Arabidopsis thaliana: one gene and its partners. The protein of the gene in region 1 purifies or fractionates together with the protein of each later gene. This does not show direct contact. Each region holds a gene or a part of one and is shown in the gene's direction. Other genes may lie near its edges. The genes, in order: EIF4A1, ALPHA-SNAP2 and ALPHA-SNAP1.

Region 1 (7,887 bases):
ATAGGGCTCACAATCAAATACTTCATGAGAACCCATTATAATTAACAAGTCTCCAAAAGTCAGAAACTCTCATACCTCCCCAACTTGAATTTCTTTTGCCCCCTCCTCCTTTACTATCTTGGCGAGAAAACCCTCTTCCATGCATTCCATTTCGACTGTTGCTTTGTCCTAAAATATTAAGATTGAGATAAGTGTTTTATTCCTGGCATAAGAATCAATACAGGAAGAGATTCAATCAGGATTATCATTACAGTTTCAACTTCACAAAGCACTTCACCAGGAGCAACTTTATCACCTTCTTTCTTCAGCCACCTGGCAATGTTACCCTGAAGTTTCAACAGATATCTTTAGTAGAATGATAAAACAATAAACCATGTTAATTTTCGTAAGAGGTATTCAGAGGTACATGCCTCAGTCATTGTTGGCGAAAGAGAAGGCATTCCAATCTCTTGATGAGGAGGAAGATCTGAAACATATTTTAAAAAGTTATCAGTAAAACAAACCATGTATGCTGCATATACACAGTGACAGAAATATGATGGCCGCAAAAGGCACAAAAACCAAGTCAGATGCTCACAAAAAAAAGTACAATTCAAGTGAAAATATATGTTAGAACAAGCGGGAAGTTACAATAAAGAACTAAATACCTGAACTGGATGAAAATCCTCTCACTGATCGCATCTGGGAGCTAAAAGCAAGAAAAGAAGCTTACAGTTAGGATAGAAGTATTCATACAGGAAGGTAGCAAGTTGTATTCTCATCGGTAAATGGATTACATACCTTATAAATTCTTTAAATAGTTTTGGTCCTGCCATTGGGCTGCTTAGTTTTGTGCTCGTTGTTGAAATACCACTAAGCATTGTTACCTATATAATGCAGCTAATGACATTACGACCAAAAAAACACAGACGATTACGTGACAAAGCAAAGACGAGAAAGGAAACTGAACAGCAGGGACTTACATTGCCAGTACCACATTTTGAAATTCTCTCTACAGAGGAATAATTCAGGCGGGCCTTGAAGATATCTGAAGACCAAATAAAAATAGAAAAATAAATGCTTAAGCGAGAAGCATAATATATACTCAAAACATACCAACTTTCAATTAATTAAAGTTGGAACGTTGTTATGTTCTTCATGTTGAAAACGATGTGAAAGTCAAACTTGGACTATTCATCCCAGAGTACTGTGTGGTGCTTGTTACCGTATCAAATAAAAGAAACCACCACACATTTCTACATAAAATGAACTTAAGGATAGCAATGAAGAGGACACTAAGAAAGCTGACTGGATTACCTTCTCTTCCAACGAGAGAGGGGTGGGTACTGTTGGAGAAACAGCGGACTGCCACAGCATGGTCACGCCGCAGTAAAGCGGAAACATGTTTCAACTGGTCAGATAACACAACAATCGTCAAAATAGTGTTTACAAAGAGCAACATACAATTACTCTGCTGTAAAAGTAGAGTCTTCTTGTACTAATAAAATGAATAGCTAATACCACAATTGAATCATAAAGCGAAGCTACTACATTAATCACAATTCAGATTACAAGGAGGTTACTAAAGCTCTCAATAGCAAAATGCAGAATTGCCCATGATCAAATTAAAAATACCAAATTCATGATTAGATTAAGTCAAACCCGGAAAACGAACCTCAGTTCAGAAAAAAATGATTGGCAGAGCAAAACACATAAGAACGAATGCATAAACTCAGTTTTACAAGATCAAAAATGGTAGTCAAACCACAGAAAAAAATGAAAAATAGAGAAAGAGAAACCTTTTTGGAATGATTGATGATACGAGAAGCCATTGTTGTGCAATCGGAGCTGCGTCAGCCGATCCGAATTCGCAACTGCAAATAACAAAAAAAATGGTGGGAATGTTTGTTAGGGGGTTTCTCCTTTTTCCCTCGGCAACTATATCAGAGATCGAGATCGATGAATTTGACTTGTACTCAATCCAATTTTGAAACAGTAAATATGTGGATGGAAGATAGGATTCGATCTAGAACTCACCAAGAGTCAGAAGAACGGTAAATCGCAGTATAGAGAGTGAAGGATCACTTGGAAGAAAGCTGGGATTTGATGATGATGATGAAGATAGTTTTGTGTTTAGGTTTTTCAGAAATGGCAAAATGCTGCCTTACATGTACCAGATTGTATCGTACCAACACCAATTCTACCATAACCGATATAAAAGTATTTAAACCGACTAATTAAGCTTCACAAATTTCGGTTTGTACTTTATTATATTGGGCCCTATTATTATTCTCTGAGCTTTTGCGTCTCACCAAAAGACAGAGATCATCAGGTGCGTTAGTGATTACGTAGGCATCTAATGAACGGCAGGGATTAGTCAAACTTATTAATGGGCCTAATCTTTGGCCCATCGTTTTCCCTCGATTCCTGTCACACAAAAAACTCCTAGCTCTTCCTCTACCTACACAAGCTAAATACATATTTTTTGCTTATCCTAAGCATCATGATTATGTTTTGCCCTCTCCAGCTTTTTCTTCAATGGCAACAGATTCTAAGAAAGTCTCTTGAGGCTAAAATCAAAGCATTTTTTGTTGAAGATAGATAGCAACTTGCTGCTTCTTCATACTAGCTAGTTACCTTCTTCTTACTCAATGTGTTTTGCTTCGTTTCAAGGATTCTTCATATCACTTGTGGAACAATTACATGATTAAACATTCAACATAGAGAGATAGATGTGTTAATAAGTAAAGACATTTTCAGATAAAACGTTCTTATCAGTCACTTTATTCTTCTAATATCCTCGTTGTAATCGGGAAAATGCTTTGTAACGTCAAAAAGCAATAAAAGTTGCAGGAGAAAGAAAGCTTTGGAAAAGAAAATAAAATAAATGAAGAATATTTTCTTTGCTAGTCACAAAATAAATGAAGAATTTATGTTCCTAATTTCCCACTAGATATTTGTTTATTTATTTTTGCCAAAATCAAGTTAAGACAATGAGCTAAGTGTTGGAAAACCTTGTCCGAGCCAAAAGAGTAAAAAGAAAGGGAATAAAGGGGTAAAACCGGAAATCCGAAAAAGAAAAGGAGAAGATTTCCAAAGGAGAAAACCCTAAAGACGGAGTATATAAACAAGGTAACGCGTTTTCTCTCAGCCTCTTTCGGATATTCCACCAGTCTCTCGCAATCTTCGCTCTTCTCTTTGCTCTCTCTCTCTCAACGCGGTTCAGATCCGAGTTTGGGAGATTCAAGCTCCCTGAAAAAAGCCCTTTACTCTCGCTTACCAACTTTGCTCCAGGTTCGCATCCTATCGGATTGTCTATCTATTATCTCGATGTAACTTTTACGATTCATGATTGTTTCTTTACTTTTGGATTGTTCTGATTTGTTTTTTTGTGTTTTCCGATAGATTTGGTTTCAACTTTGTTGAGTTGATTTGGAAGTTTTGATTTTTCGTTACTTCAAGATCGTTTTTTTTGCTGTGGAAGTGCTTTCGTTTTTGTTCTCTTTATTAGATTCTGAGCTGCTGATGATGACGATTATTAAATTTAGGATCTACACATCTGTAGATTTGTTGATGGGTTTGTAGATTTTGTTACGGCTAGGTTAGTCTCTCAATAGAATGAAATGAATCGTCTTCAAAGCTCAGATGTTCTTGTCTTAACACTCACTTGGTTTTGTCTGATTGAATGTTTTTTTTTGTAATTTGGAGAAATAGGTTGAGTGGTGTCTATGTTTAATAGATAACCATATGTGCCTTTATACATTTTCTCCGCACATCATCTGAGGCAGATATTAATGCTTGTTTTCCTCTCTTTATGGACTTCGAGTTTGGCTTTCTTGTCACATTTCCTCCTTTGCAATCATATTATTAACGATATCAAAATAGGTGTTGTCTCTCTTCCTTTTGATATGAAATCTGATTGTTTTTGTTCTTTTTATGTAGCATGGCAGGATCTGCACCAGAAGGCACACAGTTTGATGCACGTCAGTTTGACCAGAAACTCAATGAAGTGTGAGTCTTTTTACTTCTGTTTTTTCATTCTTGAGTGTGTTCTCTCCGCATGCTCTAGCTGCTAATTGTACTGTATTGATACAGACTTGAGGGACAAGATGAGTTCTTCACATCCTATGATGATGTTCATGAGAGCTTTGATGCCATGGGTCTTCAAGAGAACCTTCTCAGGGGTATTTATGCTTATGGTATGTGTGTAGGAACTTGAAAAAGCTATCTTTTGTGATTTATGTCTTAGATTAGAACATTATCTCATGCGTGCTTCTGTTTTTTCTTAGGTTTTGAGAAGCCTTCTGCTATTCAGCAAAGAGGAATCGTCCCCTTCTGTAAGGGTCTTGATGTGATTCAACAGGCTCAGTCTGGTACTGGGAAAACAGCAACTTTCTGCTCTGGTGTCTTGCAGCAGCTGGACTTCTCCCTTATCCAGTGTCAGGCTTTGGTTCTAGCTCCAACTAGAGAGCTTGCTCAGCAAATTGAGAAGGTCATGAGGGCCCTTGGTGATTACCTTGGTGTCAAGGTTCACGCCTGTGTTGGTGGAACCAGTGTCCGTGAGGATCAGCGCATCCTCCAAGCTGGTGTCCATGTTGTTGTTGGAACTCCAGGGCGTGTCTTTGACATGTTGAAGAGGCAGTCTCTTCGTGCTGACAACATCAAGATGTTTGTTCTCGATGAAGCTGATGAAATGCTCTCCCGTGGTTTCAAGGACCAGGTATGCAAATATTTCTCAGTGTTTCAATTCCATTCTCGTTATAGTTTAACTTGAATCTCACTGGTTTCTGGGTTTTTTCAGATCTATGACATATTCCAGCTTCTTCCACCAAAGATCCAAGTTGGTGTGTTCTCCGCAACAATGCCACCAGAAGCTCTTGAGATCACAAGGAAGTTCATGAGCAAGCCAGTGAGAATCTTGGTGAAGCGTGATGAGCTTACCCTTGAAGGTATCAAGCAGTTCTACGTCAACGTTGAGAAAGAAGAGTGGAAGCTCGAGACACTCTGTGATCTCTACGAGACTCTTGCCATCACTCAGAGTGTCATCTTCGTGAACACCAGGCGTAAGGTTGATTGGCTCACAGACAAAATGAGAAGCCGTGACCACACAGTCTCTGCAACTCACGGAGACATGGACCAGAACACCAGGGACATCATCATGAGAGAGTTCAGGTCTGGTTCCTCCCGTGTTCTCATCACCACTGACCTCTTAGCTCGTGGTATTGATGTCCAACAAGTCTCCCTGGTTATCAACTTCGATCTCCCAACTCAGCCAGAGAACTACCTTCACCGTATCGGAAGAAGTGGAAGGTTCGGGAGAAAGGGTGTTGCGATCAATTTCGTGACCCGTGATGATGAGAGGATGCTGTTTGATATTCAGAAATTCTACAATGTGGTTGTCGAAGAGCTGCCTTCGAACGTGGCCGATCTGCTGTGAAGGGAGAAAAGAAGTCGGTTCTGTTGCTGTGTTTGCTCTGCCGTACTAGTATCACCGGAGAAGAAAGGTTTTCTTGTTTTGCAAGGCACTCTTTGATCTGATTTTGACCCGTCGTCTATCAGCGATTTACATTTCTTAAATTTTCTTAGTTGTTGTTCTCTCCTCTCTCTCCCAGCTACGAACATATCTCTCTCTTCTTGACCATTTTTAAGTTTAAGTCATATGGAGTATTTATTTCTTCACTATTTTAATATTCGGCTTTGTTGTTTGTCTTTGATTTTTGTATCAATCAAATCTTTTCATCAAAGTTTGGTTTTAAGCTTTTTCAAATCTATATCTCAGCATTAAACTTATTTTATATGTTTATGTCAAACTGGTTAAAATGCTTGGCTCACAAATTAATTGAATAGTCGGGGTTACTTTTTTTCCATTGCATCAATCAAGGATGAAGCATTGGCACACTCTCTCAGGCGCTGCTTTAACGACAAATCTACTGATCAAAAGTCTGTTTGGACACAGCGACGAACTCGCTTTATCTTTCGTTTTTCATGCATCTTCTTTATATTTCTAGCCTTATGGAAAATAAATATTATATCTAATAGTTTTGATGTACTATTTCCTTTTTTTCTCAAAAGAAGTATATTCAAAATTTTATGGATGTGGATTCAATGATTCCGAGTCAAGCCTACCACCGACAAGGGTTTTTCACTTTTATAATATCAAAGTGAAATTATTGGTCTGAACTTCTGCAAAGTTTCTTCACGAAACTATGAAAGAAATTTTATTTCCTGTGAGAAATTACAGGTTTGGACAAATCCACGTGCCTATTTTGAAATAGTTGGGAAATCATCACATCCACACAAACCTAACCATCATTATAAATCATAAGAAAAGAAAAACACATGAAAAGTCTAGTGATTCATACCAATTTTACGTATTCATTTTCTTTCTATTTCTAAGTTGAATAACTTAATTCGTTTGAAGAAAAAAAGAGGGAAAAAAAACACAAGTAGGTCCTTGACCAACTCCACATGACAATTGTAAATTGATTTCTAAAAAAGATACCTTTAATTATTTGGAAAATAAACATATTGTTTTATTAAAATTTCCTTTTATAACTTTTAAAAAGACAATCAAAATCTATTAAAAACAGAGTCGACGACGACTCTTCTTCGTTCAGACCAAAACTCTCAAACTCAGCCATGGCGAATTATTACGAACCGCCAGCTTCTGGAAACCGTCGAGACGCAGTGAAAGGTTACAACAGCGGGAGCTTCGACGATTCAGCCGGCGATCAGAGTCAAACGAACGATTACCAGTTAAAGATAAAGAAAAGCAAAAGCGTTCCAAACGCGGATCGTGCGGCGTCAAGAAGCTGGAGTTTCAGCGATCCAGAATCGCGGAGGAAGAGAAGAGTCGCTGGCTACAAAGTTTATTCCGTTGAACAGAAGATGAAGGGATCCATTCGAAAGAGCTTCAAATGGTTCAAAGACATTATCGGTATTTCTTGATATACCTTCTCTCAACTTTCTTAAAATCTCTTCTTTGTGCTGTGAGAGTTAAATATATCTGTAACGAACAAAAAATTGATAGTATTTTCTTTCTCTTGCAACTATATGTAGAAGAAGAGTCTTTGAACTTGAATGAGACAGATAATGAATGAAATCAGTTTTCATATCTACATGTGAATATGACCATACTTCTTCAGTTACAATCAAAACCAATTCTTTCTTCAGAAAGAAAAAGAATCTATTTATAAGAAACTCTATTCAAATTCTTTCTTTCTTTTCATTTTCTTTAGTATACACACACAAACTCACACAATACAACATTCTCTGTCCCTTTCTTTGTTGCCTATTATCTTCAATCCCAATTTTCTTCTTTGGTCTGCTTCCTTCCAGTTCCAATTAATGGATTTTTTTTCTCGAGAAAGAGGAAACTTACTGGATGAGTTCAACTATGTTGTGTGGTGGAAGTTGTATCAGTTGATGCTGAGACGCCACTCAGACCGCTCATAACGCTCAATATGGAGTGTTTTCTCTGGAGCCTTCCTCTCAGCTGGCGGATCTTGGCATCAACACGAGCTGTCACTCCAATCTTGGTCTTCTCTCTAGCCTTTGATCTTTCCCTCGTCCACATACATTCGTCCTGGACGTCGATTCTGAAATGCTTGATCTCTTGGATGATGTGATGGTCCAGAGGGTTTAACGATCTCTGGAACGAAATGTAAGCCAAGTAGGGGAGTGTTGTGGCGGCTATGACCAGCAGTGAGGTAAGCCAGAAGATTGGTGCAGGTGCTAGGGTTTCCGAGAGCATGTGGAAGATGTTTCCTGAGACTTTTGGAGGTAACATGCCAAATAGGGCAAGGAAGATGTACCAGGTGACGATACTTCCCCAGATCAAGACGTGTTGGATCCATGTGAAATGGCTCATGGTTAAAGCTATCTGTACGTTCACTGCCCAGATGATGC
Region 2 (8,394 bases), about 16 Mb from region 1:
CGAGATAGCAATAATGCTAGTGGCAACAGCAAGAACAAGCATTATTGCAGCTACGATCTTCTCTCTTGAGGTTGATACACCATGGATATTCCTGCCATTTCAGAATCAGAAAGCAGTTGGTAAGATTTTTATAGGAAGTTTGAAGCAACTGATAAAGTACATAGTAAAGGAAACAAAGCATATCTACCTTAGAACAATGGCGGCTGGAAATATGAATGCTATGGAGACTGTGATGGTTGATCCCATGAACTGAAAGAAGTACCAAATGTCTGGTACAGCGATTGCAGACAAGAAACAGCAAATCAGTAGAGCCAGAGTGAGTCCGATGAATCTTTTTGTGTCTTTTTCCAAGGACGGCTTCTTGGGGTACAAGAGTTCGTCGAGATTTGCTCTCAATGAGAAGTTCAGGAGAGGAAAGACCAGCATGAGGTGAAGCACGTAGCTGAGTCTGACAATGTCGTTGAGAAGAGAACCAATGGAAGAACCAGAGCTCTGGTCAAAGTTCACTAGAATATCCGACATAGTTGCATCTCCAAAGAGAAGGTAACCAAAGAGTCCAGTTGCGAAGTAGATAGCAGCACACAAGATGACAGAGATCTTAGTTGCTGGGATCACTTGTAATGGATCTTTGAGCTCGAATCCAATTGGATGAACTGCACATTTTGAATCACAACACCAAACTCAGAAACATGAAAAAACAGAGAAAACAGAGAAACAGTTACCAATATGGTGAAAGAGATGGGTTCTTACCATTGAAGTGAAACGTGAAGGCTGTAACTATAACAGGGGAAGCTGTGAAGAGTTGCCAGAACGATCCTCCATTGCTCAACTCCGGAAACAGTCTTGGATTCTTCGTTTGTCCATTCACCAGCGCGGAAATCGCCAGCACCGAGCTTATGACAACAAATAGAACCGCAAGAAGAAACGATACAGCGGAACTAATTGCCAGTCTTTCTACATAACCATTAACAAAAAGAAAATCATCAACAATCTCATAGATATCCATAATTTTGAGAACACAAGATTATAGAGAGAAACTTACCGACTCGTCTACGCAGGACCAATGGAAGCAAGACAAAGCCGTAGACAAATAACAAAGCGAAGATTCTCGTGTTCCACCAGTAAGAACCAAACCATTCTTGCAAAACTCCAATATGTTCAGGACCACCATTTTCATTACCAGAAAGCACATCTCCTGAGAGAGTAAACACATACAAATCCAAACTCAGCCAATCTGTTCTTAAGCTCAAATAGTAGCTGAGACCTCTACACTTAGATGATTAGATCAAATTACTTTACCTATAATAATCGAAAATATAATCATACAACCAAAAGTAGCAACCATCGTAGCAATCTGTACAGCGATGGATCCTGTTTTACCAAACGACTCTTTCATAACTCCGGCGTAAGTAGTTGATTCTCCGGCGAGAGTTGATTTCATCAGAAATCCAACGGAAATTGTGGAAAGCCAAGCTATGATCGTGATAATCAAAAACGCTGGAACTATTCCAAGAACTTTAAACGCCGCCGGCATCGACATTATTCCGGCTCCGATTATACTCGTTGACACGTTGAAAACGATGCCGGAGGTTGATGATCCATGGTTCTCAGACGAAGAAGGTTCTTGCTTCGGCAAGAGATGAGTTTTGATCTGTGGTGTCATTTTTCTAACCGCCGGAGAAACGTAAGAATTTGCCGGCGGGAAGAAGCTTTCCTTTTTTGTAGTTGTTATGAGGAATCGGCTTCATATAGCCACACGGTTAATAGCGAAAAGTACATAAATACCCTTTGAAGATTGGGGATATATGCCTTGACCGTTTGGGGCAAAATCGAGAAAATGATATTTGACCATAGGTAAACCTGACAGGCTGGGCAAATCATGTCAGTGAGATCACCAAATGATCTTTCGTCACGTACTTAAAAACATCACGAAAATAATAATTTTGTTCAAGAGAGGAAATTACAGCTAAAATATGATGAACAATCATAATCATATTATAGACAGAAGTGAATTATTAACAAAAAAACCCCAAAGAATTATACAAAAAAATCCAAAATAAAATGGGTCCGTCCAACACTAATGAATGTGTGCACTTGGATTTCTTCACGAAGAATGTATCTAGACGAAAAAGTGGCCAAATGTGTATCATCGCTTCTCATCTCATATAAGTTGTCCAAAAAAGAAAAAAACTCCTAAATAATTTAAAATTTTCGTGGATATAATAAAATCCAATATATAATCATATCATTGGCGGCCTCAAAGATGGCTCACGTGTAATAAACTAACTTTAGAGCAGACGGTTCGAGACTTTTCATCAAGAAAACGAGAGGGCAGCGAATGCGGAATGTCGAATGAATAATTGAAAACGTGATAAACGAAACAATATAAGAATAATTAAACACTGTCTTCTAAAGTTATTTTTATTTAATCATTTCATATGAATCATATTGAAGTTACTCAGTTAACATTATAGAATGTGACTGATAGCAACATTAATATTGCCGCAGAAATCCCTCGTTGCAAAGTTACAGTTTATTTTAGATCATCTCTGTGTGTAAAGGAGAAGCTTCAGTCAACAACAACAGAGCTTGGGTCAAACTCTCTGCTCAGCTCAGAGTCTCCCAAACAGAATGCTATGGGCCAAGACACTAAGCCCAATACCATTCAACATGTCGAGAAGCCCAACAACAGAAGATTACCTCTGCAACTCACAAAAGACAAAAAAATTACCGATTACCCATGAAATGATTTGCTAAAAAATTGAACATTTCATAGATTTGTAACGGTTGTTATTTAGCCATTGTTGTTATTCATGTGTTTGATATTAAAACCGATATTGTTGTTACTCATGTGTTTGATATTAAAACATACTAGGTTTTTACCAGTTTGTGCATTTTGGAACATAGGTTTGTTTAGTGGAAACTGTCAGCAATATTTGTCGTGATTTGAGAACTATAATAATGGCTAATGAAGAATGTAGAAGGACGAGCAGATATAACAGGAAATCGTTTTACTTGATAATTCATGTAAGCTTTTCTTCAATCCCAACTGATAAACCTGATCCCATATTTTCTAAGCTTGGTTAAAGCGACCCAATAACAAAGTACGGAAAAACTTTTGATTGGGCTAACTTGGGCTTTTCAAAACAAAGCCCATATTTTAAATAGACAAATTTGGCCCACTTTAGTCGGTTGAAAAATCTTTTCCCCTATCGAAGCGTGTCTCTGATTTTTCGCTCTCGATCGATTCTCGTCTCTCTCTCTTTCATCGCAGCGAATAATCCAAATCGAAAGCAATTTCTCTCGACGAAGAAAAGAGAAGCAATCGGAGTCTGTGGAGGTAAAGAAGTACACGATCAAATTTCAAGTCAGAGTTTCGGGGAAAAAAAAGGAATGGGGGATCATCTGGTGAGAGCTGAGGAATTCGAGAAGAAAGCTGAGAAAAAGCTCAATGGATGGGGAATATTCGGATCTAAGTACGAGGATGCTGCTGATCTGCTCGAAAAAGCAGCTAATTCCTATAAGCTCGCCAAATCATGTAATTTCCATAAATAAAATTTCTTTGCTTTTGATTATTGTTTCATCGGATTGGTGTCGTGTTTTTTTTTATTGTTGTTCTTTGTGATGATGAGGAAGAAAAAAAAGGTGAAATTTGAAACGTTTGATCTTAGGTTTATCAGTTGCGGTGATTTGTCTATGGTCATGTGAGAAGTAGAATTAGTATCTGGGTTTATATTAGGTCTATTTTGATCTGTAAGAAATTTATGGTTGATAATTTCATACGAAAACATTTTAAATCGGAGATTCATCATTCTGATTCCTTGATATTGGTTTCTGGCCTTCTAGCAAGTCATTGATAAGTGGCACAATTATAGTACCTAATTTGGGTTCTATTTGGCTGAGTTTAATAGGTTTCATGTTCTTTTCTGATATTTGTTTAATTCTCCAACGCTATCTTCTTACTTATGTGTTGCATTTGTGATTGTTCAGGGGATCAAGCTGGAAAAGCTTATCTAAAACTTGCCGACTGTCACTTAAAGGTTAATTCTTTGGCAACACATATATATGATACTGGACTAATGTGTGGATTGTTTGATAACATTGATTTGCATGATTGCATCTGCAGTCAGATAGCAAACATGATGCTGCTAACGCCTATGCTGAGGCTGCTAAATGCTACAAGAAAGTTGACACTAATGGTATGTATAAAGCTACTTTTGTAATTGTCATCTCTGTAATGCAAGAGTGATTATGAATTCTTATGTGTTTTCATGCGTCCTAATATTATATGCAGAGGCTGCGTCTTGCCTAGAGCGAGCGGTGAATATATTTTGTGAGATAGGAAGGCTCAACATGGCTGCAAGATATTACAAGGTACCACTTGTCTCTTTTGAGCATGAATTAGATATTATTCTTTTAGTACGGATACTGAGAAGATAGTTTTATTGGGGCACTTCTTCTGTATTTCCTCCATGGTTCCTGTTTCTTTATGCATGTTCAGTCGGATTCAGATTGTCTTTTTCCTTTTCTAAACTAAAGTAAGCATGGTGCTGACTTGCTGTATTTGGACTAATTTGTACATTAATGGTTTTTTACTTTTGACAGGAAATTGCTGAGTATTATGAATCTGATCAGAAGTTCGAGCAGGCTATTGCTTACTTTGAAAAGGCAGCTGAATTCTTTCAGAATGAAGAAGTGACCACTTCTGCAAACCAGTGCAATCTAAAGGTTGCGCAATATGCCGCCCAGCTGGAGCAGTAAGATTTTCGGCACATTACCTTTCTTTTTGCTTTCTCATCCCTTAGCATTGAAGTGCTTATAGTACTCAGATGGAACCCTGTTAAAATCGAATTGTCAATCCACAAACTTGTCATTGTATGGAATTGTGATGTTCTCTATGCAGTATGCATGAGCACAGCAATTATAGCCTTTTCTCTACTTTGGGACCGATTGATTGATAATAGGCTTGTTGTTGTATCTTTGGTAGGTATGAGAAGGCAATCAAGATTTATGAAGACATAGCACGCCATTCACTCAACAATAACTTGCTCAAGTATGGAGTTAAGGGCCATCTTCTCACTGCTGGCATGTGCCACTTATGCAAAGCCGATGTTGTTTCCATCACTAACGCTCTGGAGAAGTATCAGGTTCTTCTTCTTCCACAACAAACACCCGTAACATAAACATTCTGGTGTGGTCCTTTGAGCAACTATGACATGTTTTCTAACTTCTACTTTCTTGCAGGATCTGGATCCAACTTTTACTGGAACACGGGAATGCAAGTTCTTAGCGGTAAAGTTTAAACTTCCGTTTTTTCAAGAAGTTGTGGAGCAGCTTACATAAAGTATGTTAAGTTTTGTACATTTATTCATATGAACAGGACCTTGCTTCTGCTATCGATGAAGAAGACATCGCAAAGTTCACAGATGTTGTCAAGGAGTTTGATAGCATGACTCCACTGGTATGGGCTGTAAACCATATACAGCTATTTGAATAAAATCTCTCTTTAACTCTACCTGGTTCTTGATCATGGAATTGGTGTTAATGCAGGATTCATGGAAGACAACCATGTTGTTGAGGGTGAAGGAGAAGCTCAAGGCCAAGGAGCTAGAGGAGGATGACCTTACATAGACATATTTATCCAGAGCGTTGCTTTTTATTCATTCCCGGGTTGTATTGTCACTATGTCCGTTACTTCATGTCCGACTCTTCTTTGATTTTATTGTGTCTGGTTTTGAGTTTTAAAGTTTCTTAAGAGGTTTGGTCAAATTGGGTTTGTTTGGTATCGACGTCTACAATTGTTCTCTGCGTCTCGTCACTTCATTTATGGGAACTACTCAAGTCTGGAGTTTTTTTTATATTGGTTAAACATCTGTGGAGAGTCTTCTTCGTTCAGCGATTATTTGATGCATCGAGAGGATCATGTCTCGATTATTTGTTTGCTTTTACGTCTACATCTATCTAATAAACGTGTGCTTTTTCTTCCTGTTAACGACAATTTGTAGTGTTTTGATTCATGTTTTCTTGCTCTATATATCTTTGATTGCACGCTTTTATGAAAAATAAACATTTGGGCCAGCAAGATTGCACATTACATGGAAAAAATATTCTTACATACATATATCTTGAGAAATGAACACATATACACCAATAAATTGTGAAAGGAACCACTAAACAAAGAGATTGAGGACAGACAATATACTAACACCAATTCTCGTTGTCATCGACCATGACAAGCAAAGCAATGATAAAAGCATAATCAACCTCTGGATTTACTCTCACCTTAAAGTTATATTTCCCTTTGCAGAAACTTCCCCATGTAAACTTATGTGTTACCTGCAATATAAGGATTTCAATCCTTCACCAATGTATAAAAATTGCAAATTTCTTAATAAGTATGGGTTTTTAACTTTTACCCCTACCCCGGCGATGAGAGCATCCGCTTTGAAAACTTTGAATGAGATATTGGAGTATCCTCCTGAAGCATGAAAATCACAAGTGTTTGTCTTCTTGACATTGTTGTTCTCCGGCAAGAAAACATCCACGGATGTTTTCAGTGAAACCGCTTGAGATTGTTGTACCGTGAAGAGCAAGTCTTCTCTCTCTTTGCTCTCTCCTCCATGCACTTCCCACTTGTTCTTCAACGCAAGTCCCTAAACAATCATACACCATTTCAAGAAAGAGTCATTTTTATATGTATGTTTGTTGAAAAATTAAAATGTTTTGTAACCTTTTGACGCATTGAGAGGATTGTGAAACCGGCTGGATCACGCATAACTCTTTTACGGTTAAACCCCCAAGCTTGTCCATCAATTTGTAGGAGCAGATTCCCACTTGGATCAAACACTTCATAATAATCTTTAGAAAAATTCTGAACTTTTCTCTTCACCAAAAGATCCATTGGGTATGGATTACAGAATTGATCGCTCACTACGCTTATCGCGGGATCTCCTACTTGCCATTCTGTTTTTTTATTCTTCGGCATTTTCGAATAAAGTTCAAGAAGAAGACGAAGAAGAAGATTGCAAAAGACTATGAAAGGCTCTTTATTTAGAGCCCTTGATAATCCTCCTGATGATGAAGAATTATCAAAAACACCTCTTCACATTTTCTTAAAACAATATATCAACTAAAAACAAATTTGAAATTGTAAGATTGGTTTTTACTTTTTCAGACTTTTATTCTCAACCAAAGATTGTTAAACCCCAAAAATAAACTATGTACCCTTATATTTAGAAACGAAACAACTAAGCTAACTTCTGTCTCAAGGTTCAAAGAGAAATTCTCTATTGCCAAAAAAATACTTGTCAATACATAAAACATATACATACTTCTCTTACAATTACAACAACAGATCACAAGTTCTTTAATTCACAATAATCATATAATCGAATAGTATTGTATTGTTGTTTTTATTGGTTTTGTTATCATTAATTGCCTCCACGTTTGTTCTTTCTCCACTCCCATGGCTTCTCTGGATTAGAAGATGCCCACAAGCCAACGCGCTTTTGCCTAGCCTCATTTTCCCACTGAATTCAAAACACCAAAACAAACCGTTAAACATCAGAAGGAATAATCAAAGAAAATTGTAAATGAAAAGCACAAAGGTTTATAAAAGCTTGCCTTTGCGAGCTCTGCACGCTTGTCATAGGCTACATAATGCCAAGCAAGACCTTTCTTTAGCATTACTTCCTGTACAAATTTTCCATTGCAGTATATATCTCCTACACATCTTCCATAACGATCCTCTGTATATACTAACACCTTCAAGCATTTCCCTTCAACCATCTTGAGTAGCTCATCATGCGCCTCTTTTCCATACGGCATTTTGCTCTCCGGTGAATCTATTCCGCTGATTCATTTTCATTCCAAATTTTTAACTCTACATATAGCTTTTGATTGAATATGAGGTTCTCTCTAGAGTGGAAGAGTGTTTTACCTTAGTCTAATTCTGAACTTTTTAGCAAGCACTTCCTCATTCTGAAAACTTATCATCCTAAGTATAACATGAAAAAAAGGTTAGGAAAAATTATGAATTTCGTAGATCAATTTTGATTTGACTTTATAATCAACTTGTGAAGTATATCAATAAAACACAAACCTGTAACCAGAAGCTATGATCGTCTTGTGAAGTGCATCTGCTTCAGTATAATTCTTCTTCTCACGCGCTTTGGCTCTTTTAACCGCTGCAAGACTCACGTCCTTAGGAAGAGAAGATGACACAAGCGGGTCTTTGCTACTAACATACACAGTAACAGTATCACCATCTGCCACAGATTTTGTATCCACCTTATTTCATTTAGAAAATTTCTTGATCAGCAGCAACAACATTACCATCATATCCCAAACCTTTTAAAGATTCGTAAGTTTTCTAACCGGAAGCGTGTTAAGCTC
Region 3 (4,671 bases), about 16 Mb from region 1:
CCTTACAGTTTCTACAGGTGCAATTTCGATCCAGTGAACGGAGGAGAGATGACTCAGCTTGAACATTTCCATTTTCTGAAGCAAGATAGCCCGAGATAGTCAGACCACGTGCTTGGTTTGAGTTTTATGTACATAACAATTGGCTCTGTATATAGATTTGGTGAAACCGCATACGATTTTATTCTTCCAAGCTTTACTTGATTGAAGGAAAATGTATTCTTGATTGGAACAATGTATATACAAAAAGGATTTTTTTTTGGTTATAACACTAATTTCTACAGAGAATCAAACTGCAATTCGATTACGTTTATTAAAATTTCAAATCAGAATGTTGATTATAGGACAGATATAACAAATGCAAGATGGTTCAGCTTACATGGTCATTTCAAGGTTACAGAACCGGATTTCTCCATTTAATTTAAAGACTTATACATTTAATTATTAATATTTAGTAACTTTAATTTTATAGAGACAATATAGAAAATTATGCAATGGAGATGCTTTAAAAGTATTAGGTGCCAGAGTTAAAAAAAAAAAAAAAGTATTAGGTGCCTTGTCGTCACCAGATTCCATTGGATTTTACGACTTTTTGTTAAACTCACAAGTCGCTAGCTTGTGGTTTAAGCAATCTTTTTTTTTTTATATAAAATTTACATATATTAAAAATTTTATGTGGTTTTTTTTTACATAATAGTTAATGATGCATTAAATTTAAGCAATTTTAATGATGCATTGATTTTATTAATTCCCCTTGCTCAAAATACTTTCTATGGTGTGATTAACACAAATTATATTATTATTCTTTTAGAAATTTTTGCTTGTAAATGCTAGTTTTGATTGCATTATTATTCTTTTTTCTTTTACGTCATTTACGAGAATTTTCAATTTTGTTTTATCAAAAATTTCTAATTGAATATTTGATGTTGCACATAAACTGACCGTGATACATGTGCTTGTTCTGTATATAGATTTGTTGAAATAACACTAGAGTATGCTACCAATGTTACGGATCACGGTCTCCAAGCAATTGGTAAAGGATGCAAAGAATTAAAACATCTTGAAATACTAAACTGTCCTGTTAGTAAAACAGGTCTTATAGAAGCAGGCGAGAGCTCTTCTTCCATTAGATATCTTTACGCATCAGGTAATAAAGATGGAAAGGAAGGAGGAGTGCAATCTTTTGCACAAAATAATGATAATATATTTTCTTTTCATTTGTTGTTAAGATTCTCCGAGATCTTCTCGAGATCTTTTTTGGAAATACGATAAGATAGGCTGAATAATTCTTATTCTGAAATTTTTTGGTAATGCGAAACCTTTGTTTTATATGTTCAAGAAGAAAAGAAATATTAAGAATTTTTTTTTTGTTCAGTCACACAACTTTAGAACAAAATTATGTTAATAATTTTCTTCATTTTAAATCCAAAACTTCAAAAGTTAGAAAACATATGAAGTAAAATAAAATAAAATGTGCTAAGCTATAAATTGATTTTAGTTTACATAACAAATTCTAATTGAAACTTATTTTTTTATATCGTCAAAAAACAACAACTAAATTCTGAAAAAATATCAAAAACTCCAATTTGGAAAGTATAAATTACAAACTAACTTGTTTTATTTTATGTTTTAATATAATAGTTTAGTTGGTTTAATAATAGTAAGTGTTATTTTATTATTTTTTAAAAGGGAAGGGTTTAAAAACCCACCAAAAAATCCCTTAAATGGATGCTTAAAAATCTCTGGTCGCGGGCTTAGCCCCAGTAGACTAGTTAGATCACTGTGTGGTCTGGGCATTGAGTTATCAAAGAAAAAAAGGGAAGGGTTTAAAAACCCACCAAAAAAGTTGAGGGTTTTGTACATGTTTTTTGTAAAAGGTGAGGGTTTTTTTTACCCACTTTTCATAGAGCTGAGGAACTTGATAAGATATCAAACAACAAGAGTCTCCAACTCAAGCAGAGACTTCAATCTCTCACAACAACACTGCAGCTGTTTCAGGCCCAAAAGGAGACACGAAGCCCATCTCTCATTCATCGGAACTCTGCAATACTCAAAACAGAGAACCATCACGCGAGCCGCTTCAGCTACCATCGCTCGCCGCCAACTCTTGTTGTTGTTTGATATCACTTTCTCTTCTTCAAGCAGTTGCTACTACTTTCAGAAGAAAGCTGAGAAGAAGCTTAACAGACGGAGAAGATTCGACACTAAGTACGAGGATGCTGCTGATCTGCTCGAGAAAGCACGTGATTCCTATAAGCTTGCCAAATCATGTAATTTCCATAAATAATAATCAGCCGGCCTTGATTTTTGTTTCATCTGATTGATTTGTGATGATGATGAGGAAGAAAAGGTGAAACTTGAGACTTTTGATTGATCTTTGGTTTAGCAATTGTGGTGATCCTTCCATGGTGTTGTGAGAAGTTGATTTTAGGCCTCTTTGATATGTGGGAATTATAAATTGGATACTCAACATTTAGATTACTCGATAATGATGGTTTTTGGCCTTATAGTAAAGTCATTGATAAGTATCTTCTTGCTTATGTGTTTGATTTGTGATTCTTCAGGGGATCAAGCTGGAATAGCTTATCTAAAACTTGCCGATTGTCACTTAAAGGCAAATTCTTTGGCAAACACATATATGATAATGGACGAATGTATGGATCATGTAGCAACAGCTTTTTAGATTTTAATTGACATATATGTACTACAGGACTGATTATCAACTCTTGTGTGTTTTCCTTTCGCTATGCATGTTTATCGCGTCCAAATATAACCATGACCTTATTATATGCAGAGGCTGCATCTTGTCTAGAGAGAGCGGCGAATATATTTTGTGAGATAGATAGTAAGGCTCAACATGGCTGCAAGATATTACAATGTACTACATGTCTCTTTTGAGTATGAATTAGATACTGTTACTCTTTTAGTACGGATAGTGAGAAGATAGTTTTATTGAGGGGGAGGCACTTCTTCAGCATCTTCTCCATGGTTCGTGTTGTTTATGCATGTTGGATCCTGTCGGATTTGTTTCTTTTTTTCTACAGTATATATAGTAAGCTTGGTACTGACTTTCTGTATTTGTACTAATGTGTACATTGTCATTTACTTTTGACAGGAAATTGCTGAGTATTATGAATCTGATGAGATGTTCGAGCAAGCTATTGCTTACTATGAAACGGCAGCTGAATTCTTTCAAATAGAAGAAGTGACCACCTCTGCAAACCAGTGCAATCTAAAGGTTGCACAATATGCTTCCCAGCTAGAGCAGTAAGATTTTCGGCACCTGACCTTTTTTTGGCTTTCTCATCCTCTGGTATTGACGTACTTACAGTACTGAGATGGGACCATGTTAAAATCGAATTTTCAAACCACAAATTTGACATTGTTTGGAATAATGTTGTTGTTCTCTACACATGAGCACATGGATTATAGCCCCTTCTCTACTTTGGGGCGGATTGATTGATTGATAATAGGCTTGCTGTTGTATCTTTGATAGGTATGAGAAGGCAATCCAGATTTATGAAGACACAGGCACGCCATTCACTCAACAATAAGTTGCTTAAGTATGGAGTTAAAGGCCATCTTCTCACTGCTGGCATGTGCCACTTATGCAAAGCTGATGTTGTTTCCATCACTAATGCACTGGAGAAATATCAGGTTCTTCTTCTTCCACAGCAAACAGCCTTAACATCAGCATCCTGGCGTGGTCCTTTGAGTAACTATGACATGTGTTCTAACTTGTACTTTCTTGCAGGATCTGGATCCGACTTTTTCAGGAACACGGGAATGCAAGTTCTTAGCGGTAAAGTTTAAACTCTGGTGTTGTAAGAAATTGGGGAGTAGCTTACATAAAGTATGTTAAGTGTTGTACATTTATTCTCATGAACAGGACCTTGCTTCTGCTATCGATGAAGAAGACATTGCAAAGTTCACAGACGTTTCCAAGGAAATTGATAGCGTGAGTCCACTGGTATGGGCAGTAAACCACATGCAACTATTTGGATGTAAACTCTGTCTGGTTCTTGATCATGACAACAATGTTGTTGAGGGTAAAAGAGAAGTTCAAGGCCAGGGAGCTGGAGGAGGATGCAAGCTTTACTTGATTGAAGGAAAATGTATTCTTGATTGGAACAATGTATATACAAAAAGGATTTATAACTACACTAATTTCTAGAGAAAATCAAACTGCAATTCGATAACGTTTATTGAAATTTCAAATCAGAATGTGGATTATATGCCAGATATAAATGCAAGATGGTTCAGCTTACATGGCCATTGCAATAACCTTATTTCTAGAATACATAAGCTGTTTTCTCCTACGGCCATAAAGAGTCTATAGTTTTGAAGACAGGGCAGTCTTGTGGTCGAGAGCAATCATCACTTTTCCAATTGCCTTCCTGTCTTTGAGGTCCCCGAATGCAAGATTGGCCTGTAATCAAAACGGTAAGTGTTTAATTACATGTTTTGAGTTTTGATGTCATGAAGATGAGTTAATGTTTTCACCTGGGAGAGGCTATAGGTATGAGAGATGTGAATAGTGATCAATCCTCGGGAAAGCCATGACAATAACTCTTTGATGGAATCTTCAAGGACATTGGGCTGATGGATCCTGTAGCTACCCCAGTAAAGACCATGAACCGTCCAGTTCTGCACCAATTGGTTACTACAACTTAT

Evidence for each region.
Region 2: the proteins of EIF4A1 (region 1) and ALPHA-SNAP2 fractionate together in Arabidopsis thaliana (co-fractionation; one large-scale study listed by BioGRID). This does not show direct contact.
Region 3: the proteins of EIF4A1 (region 1) and ALPHA-SNAP1 fractionate together in Arabidopsis thaliana (co-fractionation; one large-scale study listed by BioGRID). This does not show direct contact.

Annotation. Positions count from the first base shown.
Region 1 is NC_003074.8:4,590,164-4,598,050, reverse strand, and holds EIF4A1 (eukaryotic translation initiation factor 4A1), read left to right. Parts: upstream 1-3,290; 5' UTR 3,291-3,793; coding exon 3,794-3,804; exon of another isoform or gene 3,805-3,921; coding exon 3,922-3,990; coding exon of another isoform or gene 3,991-3,994; intron 3,995-4,074; coding exon 4,075-4,178; intron 4,179-4,268; coding exon 4,269-4,699; intron 4,700-4,780; coding exon 4,781-5,346; coding exon of another isoform or gene 5,347-5,386; coding exon 5,387-5,465; 3' UTR 5,466-5,795; downstream 5,796-7,887. Other genes in the region: AT3G13930 (Dihydrolipoamide acetyltransferase, long form protein), read right to left, coding at 76-168, 252-326, 411-466, 648-688, 781-866, 963-1,027, 1,297-1,390, 1,779-1,811; AT3G13910 (hypothetical protein (DUF3511)), read left to right, coding at 6,619-6,916, 7,318-7,367; AT3G13900 (ATPase E1-E2 type family protein / haloacid dehalogenase-like hydrolase family protein), read right to left, coding at 7,370-7,887. UniProt on the Arabidopsis thaliana protein: ATP-dependent RNA helicase which is a subunit of the eIF4F complex involved in cap recognition and is required for mRNA binding to ribosome.
Region 2 is NC_003074.8:20,843,356-20,851,749, reverse strand, and holds ALPHA-SNAP2 (alpha-soluble NSF attachment protein 2), read left to right. Parts: upstream 1-3,054; 5' UTR 3,055-3,393; coding exon 3,394-3,538; intron 3,539-3,990; coding exon 3,991-4,040; intron 4,041-4,126; coding exon 4,127-4,199; intron 4,200-4,294; coding exon 4,295-4,374; intron 4,375-4,605; coding exon 4,606-4,757; intron 4,758-4,987; coding exon 4,988-5,147; intron 5,148-5,244; coding exon 5,245-5,292; intron 5,293-5,380; coding exon 5,381-5,461; intron 5,462-5,550; coding exon 5,551-5,631; 3' UTR 5,632-6,076; downstream 6,077-8,394. Other genes in the region: AT3G56200 (Transmembrane amino acid transporter family protein), read right to left, coding at 1-91, 188-653, 751-954, 1,043-1,195, 1,300-1,663; AT3G56180 (LURP-one-like protein (DUF567)), read right to left, coding at 6,202-6,336, 6,423-6,653, 6,731-6,985; CAN (Ca-2+ dependent nuclease), read right to left, coding at 7,431-7,529, 7,624-7,852, 7,940-7,996, 8,102-8,289, 8,377-8,394.
Region 3 is NC_003074.8:20,928,699-20,933,369, forward strand, and holds ALPHA-SNAP1 (alpha-soluble NSF attachment protein 1), read left to right. Parts: upstream 1-1,858; coding exon 1,859-2,267; intron 2,268-2,561; coding exon 2,562-2,662; intron 2,663-3,112; coding exon 3,113-3,264; intron 3,265-3,285; exon of another isoform or gene 3,286-3,503; coding exon 3,504-3,654; intron 3,655-3,751; coding exon 3,752-3,799; intron 3,800-3,886; coding exon 3,887-4,171; downstream 4,172-4,671. Other genes in the region: ATG18D (autophagy 18 D-like protein), read left to right, coding at 9-99; AT3G56460 (GroES-like zinc-binding alcohol dehydrogenase family protein), read right to left, coding at 4,331-4,426, 4,501-4,644.